Linked DNA regions of Lonchura striata. The main gene of each other region encodes a partner of the protein of the gene in region 2 in a complex. Links are inferred from orthologs where the notes say so. Each region holds a gene or a part of one and is shown on either strand. Other genes may lie near its edges.

Region 1 (7,350 bases), on a different chromosome or scaffold from region 2:
CTGACAGCCTTCTAAGCATACTGCAGCCACCACTGCACAAGTTCTGATCTCCAGCCCACTGCCAAATGGTCACTAGCAATTCAAAGCCAAACCAAGGTGCACCTTCAGATACCCTCCAGTCCTTCCTATGGCCAGACCATCTGTGTAATTAGAGAAGCACATGAAATTACCTTTGTAGTCAGAGAGCTTGATGTCTTTGAACTGTCCATCTGGCATTACAGCCGTGGCAGTAAAGTCAGGAGCTGGTTTTCCAATGAAAGCCTTTCCTGAAGACATCTTGATTTAACCTAGACAGGAGTCAACACCAATACAGTTTAGATGGCAGTACATTTGCAGCTGGAAGTAAGGATTTATTCAAAGCATCTTATCAATCTAGATTAAACACCAAAGACAGTTTATCAGCACTTGGTCTTTAAACAAGGCTTAGGGGTTAAATGAGTTTTGTCACCTGGGTAGTTGAACCACTATAGAGACTGCCAGCACTTCAAAATCTATGGCACATGGCCTCCTAAAGATACAGTAGTGGTTATCTAACCACTAATAGCTCAGCGTCTGGCAAACTCCTAGCCTAGAGCTTTACTAGTACTCAGAAAACCATACCATTCCACATGGTGGAAGAGTAGGAAGTATGTTTTTCAGAATTTTCAAGGAGAAGAACCTTGTTCAATTTTACAAGGGAATTTAAGACCTCAAACTTGAGCTTCCTGTTGATTCTGAAAGAAAATAACGTCTGTTAATCTCCAGGGAACATTGCTCTGCATAGCTACACTTAAACCTTTTGAACAATTCAATCCTTTTTTATTTGCAACCAGAAAAACTCGTGGCACACATGGAAATCACATTCTATGTTAATTACAATTTCACAGAGTCTAAATCAGTACAGCCAGGTTGTTTCCCCTTTATTTCTATTGAAAAAGAAAAAAAGGGTACACAAGGATAAAAGAATGCTACTTCTGGCTGTCTCCCCCAAAAGCTTGTCATCTGCAATACATCCCGTGTAGTATTTTTGCTCAGTCTGGGAGTGTAGTACAACTCTTTAGACTTCCAGAGCATAATCTTTCAAATAGGTAACTCTACAAACGTAATTTCTGCAGATCACATAATATTCTTAGAAGCTATTTCACTTCATTCTACACACTGCAGCACTGGCTGCCTTGGAGATGAAAAACACCTCAAAGGTTAGCATGACTCTCATGTTGCTAAGGAAAGCCAAGAGCCAAGGATTGTTCCAAGTTGTGCCTGCAAGGCACCAAGTCCGTTCTAAAAAAAGTTGAGAGCACCTCATTTCTTGGCTCCTTCCCCCTTGCCAGACACTTTTTTTCCTGGAGAACTAGCCCACAAGTCAAACATTTAGCTTTGAACCCACACCTAGCCTTTTTAGAAATGGTTTCCTTTTGCAAGTTTCTTTTACACACCCTGACAGTAATAATCCACCTCTTTATTTCCATTTTGAGAAGTGCTCACACACTCAGCATTTCTAACTGTAAAACAAAGCTCCTTATCCCCATGTTCATCCGAGGGTTTTTAGTCTTTAACTGCAGCAGACTGGGAGCGAATATGGTGGCCAGGACTAGAGATCATTTGTAGGATGCAGTGAAGTAGCCTGGCAGGAGGACATCAAGAATCCTGTACACACAAATGGAGCTGTGGCTCTCAAAGTGCAGTTCTGCAAGAGGGACAGGGGAACAGCACAGTATTTATTTGAGATGCCTCCAACTAGCAAGTTTTATCTTATAAGCAAGAGCTGCTCAGCCTGGAGTGCATGACCCCACATTTTTATCACTGAATTACATTATTTTCTGTTATCCCAGCTCAAGGTCATCCTTTTGCTCAGTACTATGCCAGTCCTTCTATATTTATTCCATCAGCAATTCTCTGGAGTATTTCACTAGATATTCAAGGTCAGACTGCTCTTTGATACTTCCCCTTTCTAAACTACAAGTTATTGCCCCTTTCTCTGGTACCATTAAAATATTTTAATATTTGCAGGAGACTTTGGTTGCCTCACACTTCAAGAGAGCCATGTGCTTTCCTCAGAGCACCCGCTGTGATCTGCCAACCCTTCTGCTATTCCGTGTGGGGTCCGCGCGTGTTCTGCTCGGATTTTTAGCCACAGCATTTCCTAACCCGCAGAGGAGCAGACCACAGAATCATTGTTACTTCCGTTCATTCTGCAGGAAAGTAGAATGAGCACCTTAAACCAAATACACTCGAATCCGGCCAGAGTATCTTTGTTGCTCATAGCCGCAGACGGCCTCAATTATCTTCAAACAGCAATTATAATGAGCCAGGCCTGCTCTCTTGAGCGAGCGATTTCATACCTTTAGGGTGCCTCGAACAAAAGCGAAAGGCCGTTTCAAAAGGCGCCATCAGCCTCCCCCTCTGCCACCTCCAGACTGTCACACAACGCGGTCGGGCCGCCGCGGCCGCGCTCGGGGTGCGACACCGAACCGCGGGCATCGCGCACGGACCGCGGCACGCGTGGGGCCCCGGGGCGGCCCCCGAGCCTGCCCCCGCTCTGCGACCGGGGAACCCGCCCCCTGCACGTCCCCGAGCCGCAGCCAGCGCTCGGCTTTGGGGTTTCTTAAGGCTTAGGAGCGAGATGCCGCCTCCTTGTCGGGGAAGGGGCCGCTCGGCTCCCTGCGGGCGCCCTGCGCGCTCCCCGCCCGCGGCTCCGCCCCGCGCAGCGCTGATAAAGGCCGGAGCGTTGGAACGACTTCTCTGCTCGCTCTCCCCGCCAAAAAAAGCCCAAACCAAAACCAGGGGAAACTGAACACGGCGGTTCAGGCGGCAGCGATCCTTCGGGAGCGGGACGCGGGGAGAAAGGGCTCGCCCCACGCGCCTCGTTCAAGCGCGCATCTGAGCAGAGGGGGAGGGGAAAGCGAACAAAAAACCCACCCAAAGCAGTAACAAAAACCACACAAAAATAAAATTAAATTTTAAAAAAGCCCAAAACACTGTGCAGAGCCCGCAGCAGCCCCCAGAGCCCCGCACACTCACTCACTCGCAGCGCAGCGCCGATCCGCTCACAGCAGCCGCTCCGCCCGGCCCGCTCTGCCGCAGCCCCGCCGCGCCGCCCCCTTTATAGCGGCGCGATCTCGCGAGCGGACGCGCGGGGAGGGGAGCGCGGCCGCGCCTGCCAGGGCAGCATGACTTGGCAGATCCTTCCCTGGAGAGAGTCCCGGGAAGTGCCGCGCAAATCGCCAATGCCGCGGCTATAAACGATTGATGGGCTTGGTGCAAGAAGCGATGGCGTTTTTAGTGCCCTAATTGACCTAGCTATGATTATTTGAAGTCCTCAGAGGGCACGCAGGACTTTGAGAGAGGAAAAGGGATGACTGGCATGTCATTCATGTGAATTAAGTGTTGGTCATTGACAGAAGTAAAACGAAACCTCTCACGAGCAGAACAATGTGTGTTCGCAGTGTTGCACAGGTGCGGTGTCAAATCTCCATCCTCTCGCTCTGCATTACCCACTGCCCCCTCTCCCTAATACTCGTCCCAAGGCTTTCATTGATTCTTCTCCATCAATGGGAACACCGATCCCAGTCATGCAAGTCAGCAAAAGAAAGATGAAAACTAAGTTTAAAGTCTAATCGTTGAGCTTCAGTGGTAAAATGGAAACTCTTGGGAGTTTTGCATCATTCTGTAGTGAAGCTGCTCTGAGTGATGTTTAACATCAGTGATTTCACATAAGTGCTGTCTTTGAATCTAAAAGTGAACAAGGAGTGTGGTACTTTTTAAGGGCCAAATTTTGATTTTAAATGTGAATTTATTTTATTAAATAATAAATATCTAAAGCCATTAAGCCATATCAAAGACAAAAATGCTTGCTTCTGTCAAAAGTGATAAATGTGCTCACCAACTGATTTTTACTCATCTGTTTTGCAGTTTACAGTTGTGCTTCTTATATTTTTTAAAACTTGATTATAAATATTGATGAGGAGAAAACCACAAAGGATTAACAAACTTTAAAGGTTTATAGTCAAGATCACTGTGCAGTGTTGCTGGGTAACTATACCGTTGTGGTGGTTCACCCAGAGATGACTCATTTTGGGACCAGATGAACTTAATCCTTAATGAATACTGAAAGCAAATAACATGCATATATGTACTCAGGAAAAAATCTGCACTCACTTCCATGCAACTAATTTATCTACTTCTATTGCTATAGCATGCTTAATCTTTTACAGGAAGAAGTTTACTTTCTTAACATCAGCACTGAGAATTGAGGTCTATATATTGAGATATGTATATACTTCTCCATCGCCTCAGGCCAATGAGCCTGTGAACAGATTAACTCCTGAAAGGTCAGGCAGTTCTAATTAAAGCCTCCAGAACAATGTAGTGCCACTGCAACGCTGGCATGTTTACAAATGGACAAAGTAATCATGACTTTCTCGTGGTTTCTGACTCCTTCAATGCTTGTTATGCTGATTTCTCATAATTTCAGATGCACAATATACCCAGTATGGTCTGCAGGTTGTTCCAGGTTTGTGCTGTAAGCATTGCCTTTCCATTCAGATGTCTATGGCCTCATTACTTTTGATTAATTTCTGAGCTTGTCTTTCCAGATGTCAGTTTTTGGAGGTTTTGGAATAATAAATTGTCAGGGCCACTTCTTGTTCAGTGAGCACCTGGGTTTCTGTAGCCTTTCTCAACCTTTAGATGTAGGATGCTACTTAGATTAAAACAATCATGTTTTCCAGGAAAGAAAGGGCAAGTCTACCCCCGCAGGTGCTGGAAGGATGGAGTTCTCTCCACACAGCAGTGTAACTGTGCTGTCCTGTACTGATAAAATAGCTGCCAGACAGGATCAGCTTGTACCTGATTAGCATGGAGCATCAGAGCCCAGTGCAGGCCTCTCTGCACCCAGCCACTCCGACAGGGACACAATAAGTACTTCATCTATCAACAAAGAGGAGCTGGCAGGCCCTGCAGTGCCAGAGCACTGAAACTACCCAAACTGGGAGCCAAACTAGCTTTCACATCCATCATTTTGATTACAGTATCTCTCATGTATCTTGGTTGGGAATGGGCCCCTGATGTGAAAAAACAAATGCCCTGCTGTGTGTAAAAAGAAAGGCAAAGAAACTGGACCTGTTTCAAAACGTTACCACACGTTTGGGTTTCCATGCATTTGAGAATAGTTTTGTGTAAGAGTATCAAAGATTTCCAGAATAAGATAAATTTGGCTGGAATAGTAATGGATTTGGCAACACTAGGCATGCCCCTGGGGCACACAGCAGAGGTAGTCCCTGCATGCCCTCAAAAGCCAGCACACTGGGACACCCTCACACATTCCCTGTGGAGTTCATCACTGCATGTGCCAAAAGTCCACTGAGTCCTGAATATACCAAACCTCCTACATACACATGGTACTACCAGAGGCACAGTCAGAGTCAAGTCCTGGCCATGTGGGGACTATTTAATTTAATGTGTGCAGAAAGTCAGCTAACAAGTCAGCAACTAACAAGTTCCATGGGGCATTTATGCACAAGCAGCTGGTGCACAATCATTTTAATGAAAACAACTGCATGCCATTAAATATACAATACACATAGCTTTCCTTGTTTGAATCAAGTTTTTGACCTATTTCTAGGTCAAAATTACCTCTTCTCTGATTTTTTTTCAATTAGCAGGCTATTACTGTATGTTTGGATAACCACTGCCTTTTGATTACAAAATTTTTCAGTCTTCCTTACCTTTTCTCTTTTACTCCCCTATTACATTGCTGGAGGCTAAGGTTTGTTAAAGTTTTCATATGTGAGATTTACATAATTCAAGCATCTTCTTTTGCTTGAAGATTGTGGACTTTCAAATGGATGTGTTTGCCAGGGTCTTCATAAAAATAAATCAAAATCAGCAGTGATTCCTCCCCCTTTATTCTTTCATTTCCCGACTCCTGTTACTTATAATTGTCTTGTCCTTGCACTTTTCTTCCACTTTCCCTTATTTTGTCAAAACAGGCTGTGCAGCATGAAAATCTGGTCACATGCATGCCCAAGAGATTAACTGACCTTTGTGCCTTTAAGTCTCCTGAGCAGTTCAAGTCAGAACAGAAAAGACTAAATCTGCTGCAGATTCTTCTTTCTGGAAATAAGTAAGAGGTTCTTCAAGAGGCTCACCAGAGGTATCAATTGCCTTATTTCTGATCTAATCTTACTCTAAGTTCTGAACGTTTATAAATTGCTTGTAAAGATGGGATCCTTTTTTGGAGTAATAGTCAGAAGTGATTATCTGTTTTAAGTTGTGTTTAAGATTGGGTGCACAGTTGATTCTCGATTAGAGGCCAAAGTCTGCTCCAGCAGAAGGCTTTGATTTGGCAGCAGCAGGGCTGTCCCTGCCCAGCAGTGAAAGCGCTCAGCTGAATGAGCCTGCTTTAATCTCACTGCGGTCCCGAGCAAACAAGGAAATGAATTCCTGGCCATCTGCAAGGAGAGAAACCCCGGCTTTCTCGGAAAGTGCGACTTCTCTATACACCTTAGAGTGCAAAAGGTGAAGCAAAACGAGTGCAACCGGCCTTTCACTTTCCCTTGATTCCTGTTATTTAGGTCTGCAAATAAAACTGGGTATATTCGGTCTTCCTACAAGTAGAAATAGCTTCAAGAGGCCGCGACAAACAGCAGCCAGGGAAATGCAAACGCTTCTTGTCAAATTTATGGGCCGGGGTCATCTTTTGTCTGTCCCCCCCGTGCGGTGCAGCTCATCGCATGCATCACTTCACCGCTGGGCGGGAGCGGCGAGGCTGGGCTGCCTGAGCTCCCCGGGACCCGGGCCGGGAGGCCCAGGACACCAGCGGGGCAAACCCGAGCAGTAACAGGAGCGGGTCGGTGCCGGGGAGCCCGGCCGGGGGCAGGGCCGTGAGGGCAGCTCAGCCCCGCTAAACCCCCACTGACAGACTTTAATGGACTTCCACATTTGAACCCGCCAGGGGCAGCCGCGCCGCCCCAGCCCGCGGCCCGCTGGCGGCGGAAGCGGAAGGGCCGGGCAGCAGCGGGGGCAGCAGCCTCAGGAGCGGCGGGAGCGGCGCTCGGTACCGGCGGTGAGTGCGGGAGCGGCGGCGCCCCTTATCGCCCCTGCAGCGCCCCGCGCCGCGCGGGCCCGCCCTGCGCCGCCCCGATAAGGGGCAGGTGGGCGCACTCGGCCTCTGCAGGGGAGCCGGAATGGAGAGGGGTTATCCCCGATCTGTGCGGCGGGAGCTGCTCGGTTACAGCGGCTTAAGTATCGCCAATATGTACCTGTTTGCATAGCTATACGTATTAATAGTATGCATAGCTGCTGAAAGACTCGTTGCTTTAAGTTAAAACAGAGCTGTAGCTGTGGGTTGATGGACCGGGGTGGTTTGCA
Region 2 (7,352 bases):
TGCTAAAGAGTTTAAAACAGGAAAGGCCCCACACAGTAGGAAAACAGTGAGGGTGTCAAAAGATGAGCAAAAAGCTGAACTGCAGGAAAACAAGGATGGTTTAAAGACCCAGAGCTGCCTGCTAGAATGTTGTTTTTCCCAAGCAGCTGATAAACTGAAGGACAGAAGCAGATCCCCAAGAGCACAGAGAAGAGCTGCAGGGGCAGCTGTAGGGAGAGCTCTGTCCTTGCTGCACTGGATGGGACAATATCCACCCTCTTCCTCCACCTGTTCCTGACCCTCCATGCTCACCTGTGTGACGGACACAGAGGTGGCCCTAGAGGCATGGGCCACCAGTACCTACCTGGGCTTGCCACTTTCTCCAGAAGCCTCCAGCCCCTCTGAAGGTGGGGACACCGCTCTCGGCACTGACCCCGGCTCCGGTGATGATGGCGATGTGCTTGGCTTTGGCAAACACCTCTCGGAAATCAGCCATGTCTGTGCCAGGGCAGGGAAACGAGAAAACAAGGAGCTGTTCAGGCGCTCACACTCTCACCTAAGAGGCCACACTCACACTTCCATACACACCTCCCATGACTTTAATTTTGGAATAACAGTTGGTTCCTGAACTTCTCTATGTTGTAATTTAAAGGGCAGTTTCTGGAGATTCTCAAAATATGTGTCTGAGCAGGCTCAGTAGGGCAGGATGTGCTAAACATTATTATAGTCAATACTGGAAAGGCAGAGTCTTTAATTAAAACCCCACATTAGATGCTACCCCAATAACAACTGTTGGCACCACCACCCAGGAAGAGTTTGCTTCCCAATTGTTACTAAAATCTTGAGATAAAAAAAAATACATTTGTTTTGTTGTTGTTTTTGTTTGTTTTTTTTCTCCATGAAGTATCACCTTCAAAATTAAGGTAATTTGGGAAAATGTGCTTTCTTTTGAGGCATTTTTTCTGTTTTCTAGATTTGCAACTGTATTTTATATTTTTTAATGTGTTATTCCCACCACTTTCCCCTGCATGGTAGTTTGGGAAAAAGATTGAAAATTTCCTTTGCCTTTTTATGCGAGTCAAGACAAAATTAAAGAGGAACAGGTTAGCTGCAGACAGACAAGAAAAATATATTTTGCAGTTTACCTCAGATATGAATTTTAAAGCAACACAGGTTAGAATCACAAAATAAATGGCTGAGGTGGGAATGGACCTCTGGAGATTGTCTTGTTCAACCCCCTCTCCTTAAGCAGGGTCAGCCAGAGCAGACTGCTCTGGACAGTGTTCTGTGGGGTGGCTTTTGGTATGGACACGGACAGAGACTCCATAACCTTCCTGCACAATTCAATCCATTGTTTGGCCACCTCACAGCAGACAAACACCATGGAGTGTTTTTATGCATTGCCCTGGAGCCATCATTGCCACAAGGGCTCATCACTGGCTTAAGGCCAACGTGGTGCCCACCAGATCCCCAGGGACATTCCTGCCCAGCTGGTCACCCAAGCCTGTCCTGGGTCTATTTCTTCCCAGGGGCAGGACCCTCCGAGTACCAGCCACTCCTCCCAGCTTCATATTATGTGGAAACTTGCCCAGGATACACTCCAATCTATTGTCCAGATCATTAATGAAGGTGTTTAACAACAGTGACCTCAGTATGGATTCCCTATGGTGTCCCATGAGTGGGCAGCCTCCAGCTTTGAGCTGCTCGCCACAACCCTAATCCTCACAATTTACTAGGTGGTCTTTCAGATAGAAATCAAAACTACCCCCTGCCCCCTATACACACAAAAGCCCACCCAAAGACAGGTAAGTTCCTGTAGGGAGAAAGAGCCATTGGAGAGGTCCCAAAGACCCACAGTACAGAGCCCCTGGACTGGGCAGAGAACACTCCTATTCTGATGCCCCACCTGCTGCTGCAAACCAAACCTCACAAGCCCTTGATGTGTAAAGCTCAGGCCAAAAGCCCTCCCAGACAGGTGTCTGGCAGCAGCCAAATCCTGATGCTCAAGGCAGCAGAAAAAGCAAGTTTGCCTTGACCACCTGACATTAGGGAGTAGCTGTTGTACCTGTGTGCAGTTTTCAAGTTAAGGCACATTGTCAAATTGAAAAACAAAACCAAAACACCCCCAAACAGGTGAAAAGAGGTCAGCCTTAACTCCCAGTCTGAACAGGGCTCCTGGGGTTACCCAGCTCCTGAACTGTCACAAATACTCAAGGCCCATTCTTGTACAAAGAAATGAGGAATTAGTTTTATTACTCATTAGCATTATGAAAGGGAAATGCAATTAACCACTGCATACTTATGTGCATAAATTATAAACATTAAAAAGGTGTTTATGTTGTAACCATGATGACTGTAACAGTTTATGGAACTATACAGAATACAGTCGTAGAAAGGTAATTTTACTAGTCTGGGAGACAAATAAAGCAACCTCAACTGTTTTAAACATTTTTAATTAAGCCATGGATTTCACCTAGCACACAACACCTTCTAGCACTTCAAATCCACCTTAAAAAGCTGTCCGGGGTGCTAAAGCAAACAAATACACGCCTTACTTGAACTAGGACGGGCCATTTCCAAGCCAAACTTCTTTGAAGACGAGGCCTTAAGTCCACAACGCACTTGGGGAACCAGCCTTCTAGCGGCAGACTGGAACAGACACATCGGGATCCCTCGGAAGTGTTTCACCTGGGGAGAAATAAATCAAACGTCAGCGGCCCAGGCAGGGTGCGCATTTCTGCCAGCTCCCCGTGAGGGGCTCTCCTTGGAGAACCAGCTGCGAACACGGAATTCCTCCTGCACCTGCAGAACACGGAGCCATCCCCCAGCCCGGACCCTGGGGCCGGGGTCACCGCTTTTGCTCAGAACGGGGCACATCAGCCCCGCTCCACAGCGGGGCTTTCGGCCGACGTTCAACTTACGCCACGCTCCCGAGCTGCGCTGCTAACCCGAGGCGGCTCCCAGGACCCGCCGGCATGGTAAGAGAAAGGGGAAAGGCGAGGGACGGACCCGCGGGGGCGGCGAGCCTACGTGCCGCTGCCGGCCCGCAGAAGGGCGAAGGGGCAGCAAGGGCGGGCGGGGCCGCCGTGCGGGAGGCGGGACCTCCGTGCGGGGAGGCGGGACTGCCGTGAGGGGAAAGCGGGACCGCCGTGAGAGGAGGCGGGACTGCCGTGAGGGGAGGCGGGGCCGCCGTGAGGGGAAAGCGGGACCTCCGTGCGGGGAGGCGGGACTGCCGTGCGGGAGGCGGGACCTCCGTGCGGGGAGGCGGGATTGCCGTGAGGGGAGGCGGGGCCGCCGTGAGGGGAAAGCGAGACCGCCGTGAGGGGAGGCGGGGCCGCTGTGAGGGGAGGCGGGGCCGCCGTGAGGGGAAAGCGGGACCGCTGTGAGGGGAGGCGGGGCCGCCGTGAGGGGAAAGCGGGACCTCCGTGAGGGGAGGCGGGACTGCCGTGAGGGGAGGCGGGGCCGCCGTGAGGGGAGGCGGGGCCGCCGTGAGGGGAGGCGGGGCCGCCGTGAGGGGAGGCGGGGCCGCCGTGAGGGGAGGCGGGGCCGCCGTGAGGGGAGGCGGGGCCGCGGGCCTCACTCGCGGCTCCGCCCGCCTCACGCCAGCCCGCCGCGCCCCGCCCCGGGCGGCGCCTCGCCCCGGGCCTGCGGCGCCGCACGTCCCGCCCGCACTCCTGGGGGAAAGGCCGCGGCGTTACGGGATGGTGGATGGATGCACTGGAGGCAGCCGCGTGTCGCTCCCCGGCGTTGCGCTGTCCCTGCGCCTTGCCGGAGCGTATCAGCTGGAATGAGACGCAAATAGGTCAGGGAAGCTGGGTGGCTTTCCAGCGTCATTCCTCTCTGCGGTCCGCCCGTGGCCGTTCGCAGTTCACGCATGAGAACTCCGCTGCATTTGGACAGCACACAGTTTATTTATTTATTTTTTAATGAGGAAACACTGTTTTTAGCATGTTTTGGTGCATAAAGAAGGCAGCGCCTGCTCTCATCCAGCCGCCTCCTCCCCACCCTTCCCCAACAACCTTAATCATTGCGGTCCTTTTCAGACAGAGGTTTTGCCACATTTTCCCTTCCCTTTGGATTCCGTAAATGACCAGCTAAGCAGATGAAGAGGCCCCCAAAACACGTACCCAGAGAGGGGAAAGGCTGAAAGCAAGCCCCGAGCTCTTTCGAGTCTGCCGGCTGTCCAGCGCCGGGGGCAGCTCCGGTTCCCCACTGCCGCCGGCACAGGGCGAGTTACCTGAGCGAGCTCGCCCGAGCGCAGGGCAGGAACAGCCCTGCTGCTCCCAGGGGCTGGCAGCCGACACCCCCCGTTACACTGCTCCACGGCACTCCGTGCTGTTTACAGAGGACCGGCGCTTCGTACTCTGCCTCCAGCTGCAAACTCGAGGGAAGCCTTTGGTGGGGGAATGCTGACAGCGAGCGCTGCTGACTAAACGCTTGTGCTGGTGCTTGGTGGGCTGTCACAGCTGCTCCCCGAGCCCTCCGTGTCTCCAGGAAAGTAAGCGTGCTCGGAAAAACAGCGCGTCATAAACTCAGAAAACAAGCTGAAAGCCAGCGTGATCTTACTTAGCATTCTAACGACCCTGATGTCAAAATCCATTAATTCTGTGCAGACTGGGAAAACAGGATGGCAGATTTGTTGAATGAGGGATTGGCTGTGCATAACGTTATTCATTATCATAATTGGTGTTTTGTTTTTTTTTTTTTTAATTGACATCTTGCTACAGATTGTACACTGTACAGACTGTCTAATAAGCTACACTGTGCTTATTAGGCAGTGTATTTTAGCTGCTACTTAATCTTAAAAAAAAAAAGCAATTTGCAGTTGCACTATCACCACAATTTTCTTCCACTTTGAATCCAAAGTTCAAACCAGCAGAATCCTAGTCTAACATCGCTAACAAAAAAAAAAAAAAAGATTCTGTTTCTGTACTAGAATTTTGAGGAGCACATCAACCAAAGAGCTTTCATCTTCCTATCACATTGTTGCACCTGTCAGCTGTGCTCCTAATTTTACATCAACCCAGGTCAGGGCATGTTCACTTGCAAGGTTTGCAAAAGTACAGGTTTTTTAATAAAACCAGAATTCACCATGGCATAGTTTTTGTGAAATGGGTACAGAAGGACACAAGGCTGGCTTGCTTTCGTCTCTTTGGCATATACAGAATGCCTACTCCAAGAGCACAATTATCCCAGTGTTTCCAAAGCCTGAAACAATGAATAGCCCAGATGATGCTGGCTGATTTGCTAACCTGGTGTAACTACTGAATGTGTGCCGTAAGAAAATGGCCACACTGATTTTCCAAATTGTTTGTACTGATCCTGGAAAAATATTTTAATGCCAATGTGTAAGTAGATTTCCTAAAATGTTTATAAAAATATTAAAGTGACATCTAAACTTAACTTCAAGATGCTGGCATGTTTGCCATTGATACCTGGCAGTATTCCACAATCATCTGTGCCCAATAAAATAATTCTGCATAAAATCTTTTTCTATTACAGTAGTTTTCCTTCAGCAGCAGTGTCATTAATGCAGTGAGAGCAACTCAAGGTGGACACCAGAAGCATGAACTGTTCTGCAAAGATACACATTTCAAAATCAATTAACACTTAAGAATCCTGTCTTAGAAGGGACAAAAGCCATGGCAAGGGCAAGTACACTGAACTTCACAGCCCCTCCTTTCACTGCCTCCTCCAGCACATTGCCCTCCCAGATGCCAGCGGCTGGGGCCTTTATATATTTAGCAATGATCCTCTCTTATCTGTCTTCCAAGAACTTGTCCCATCTCCCCTTGACCATCGGGATTCTGTTCTCTGGCAGGAGTTCTCCACCTCTGCTCCCTCTCCTGGGAAGGACAGGGAAAGCAGAAGGTGAGGAATGTGTATTCAAAGGGGCTGCTCTTCTCTGAGGCTCAGTGGTAAGAGAGGTTCATACCCTCTAGTCTTCCACTCCAACATCACTAGCCTTCAGCATTTTTACCAAGTCCTTTGCATCTGAGCAGCACCAGCTAGAAACAGCTCCCTCTTTGAGCATTAAGCCTAATTGTACCGAACACAAGTAACACATTTTTTTTAAATCCCAAGTAAACAGTCTGTATTCTAACACACAACAGGTCTGCACCAATTAAATACAGTATGGCAATATATAAATTACAGGTCTTTACAGTAAATAGTAAAATACGAGAGTCCGCTTATTGTACACAACAATCAAAGAACAGCAGCTTTTCAGTAAGGTCCCAGGTATCTCAATCATTCACTTGCTAAGGAACAAAGAAAAGATACAGCAGGCCATTCACTTCACTCATTTTTTACCATGTTGCTTTACAAATATCCAGAACACTTGTACAGGCATCTACAGTATCTACATGTGGAACAACCTTCTTAGGAATTCATAAGCACCAGACATAAATCCCTCCATCATTTCCATTATTAAAATAAACTTTACAGATTAAAATTACTTTAGCAGGTTCTATTTCATCTTGATAATAAACCAGCAAGTAACAAGTGCAAAGTCTGCAGTCATGATCCATTTACTGCTTCTTTATTTCCCATTTCTCCCCACCCCGCACCCAAAAAAACTAAAACCCCTAAAAAACCCAGAATGTTGTCCTCTCACACCCTTGGAGTAATACTGTTTCTGCAGTCAAACTGCCCAGCTGGCTTTTGCTAACATGTGAAATGCCAGACTCATAGCTTCAGGCATCATCAGTCATTCCAATGCCAAGTCAGCACAGTGGCAGGCCTCAAGGAAGACAAAACATATGAAGCAGTTGGATATTTCAGTGTGCTTAAACATGGAAGGCTGCATGGTGCCCAGTGACTGAAAGGAATATGGCACCAAGTTACCAGTTAAAACATTTACAATAGAAAGATATAAACAGCAAATATGTCAGTCTAAAACAAGTTCTTTGGTAATTAAGAACAGCGGTTGGGTCTTTTTTCCAAAATGGATTCACATCCTGTTTTTTCCTCAATAAAATATCTTTTGTTGTTTAAAATATATCTCCCAAGTTGTTGTGTAACAAATAGTCCAGTACCTCAGTTATCTACAATCAGCTTTAACTGTGTTTTAGTGTGCAGCCATATCTGCCTACTGGCAGACAATCTATAGATACACATTCATATATATATATAATATATATATTATTTATAAAAAATTAGAGAATTAAGTCAAGGACTCTAGAGAATACACATTCCATATGGACAGGTTAAAATGTACAATAGCTTCAAAAATCCATAAAGTTTTCTACACAGTGACGCGTGTAGTAAGTGCAAAAATACTGTGGTTTAGTTAATCCAAGATTTCCTGTTTTCCTGTTTCCTAGAAAAAGCAGAAGCTGCTGCATCTCCTGAATGGCAGAGGACGTCTCCTC

Evidence for each region.
Region 1: the proteins of SIRT5 (region 2) and PRDX1 are in contact, whole or in part, in a crystal structure (PDB 8Z54), measured with the Homo sapiens proteins. The link is inferred for Lonchura striata from reciprocal best matches to the Homo sapiens genes SIRT5 and PRDX1. Residues at the interface, in NP_001363727.1 of Homo sapiens: Ala86, Tyr102, Arg105, Gln140, Ile142, His158, Val220, Val221, Trp222, Phe223, Gly224, Glu225, Asn226, Leu227, Leu232, Val253, Val254, Tyr255, Pro256; in NP_001189360.1 of Homo sapiens: Phe195, Ser196, Lys197, Gln198.

Annotation. Positions count from the first base shown.
Region 1 is NC_134611.1:13,332,904-13,340,253, reverse strand, and holds the start of PRDX1 (peroxiredoxin-1), read right to left. Parts: upstream 3,100-7,350; 5' UTR 3,001-3,099; intron 288-3,000; 5' UTR 277-287; coding exon 171-276; intron 1-170. UniProt on the Homo sapiens protein: Thiol-specific peroxidase that catalyzes the reduction of hydrogen peroxide and organic hydroperoxides to water and alcohols, respectively.
Region 2 is NC_134603.1:88,965,653-88,973,004, reverse strand, and holds the start of SIRT5 (NAD-dependent protein deacylase sirtuin-5, mitochondrial), read right to left. Parts: upstream 3,073-7,352; 5' UTR 2,901-3,072; intron 2,668-2,900; 5' UTR 2,644-2,667; coding exon 2,535-2,643; intron 478-2,534; coding exon 344-477; intron 1-343. Other genes in the region: kinesin-like protein KIF13A, read right to left, coding at 7,267-7,352. UniProt on the Homo sapiens protein: NAD-dependent lysine demalonylase, desuccinylase and deglutarylase that specifically removes malonyl, succinyl and glutaryl groups on target proteins.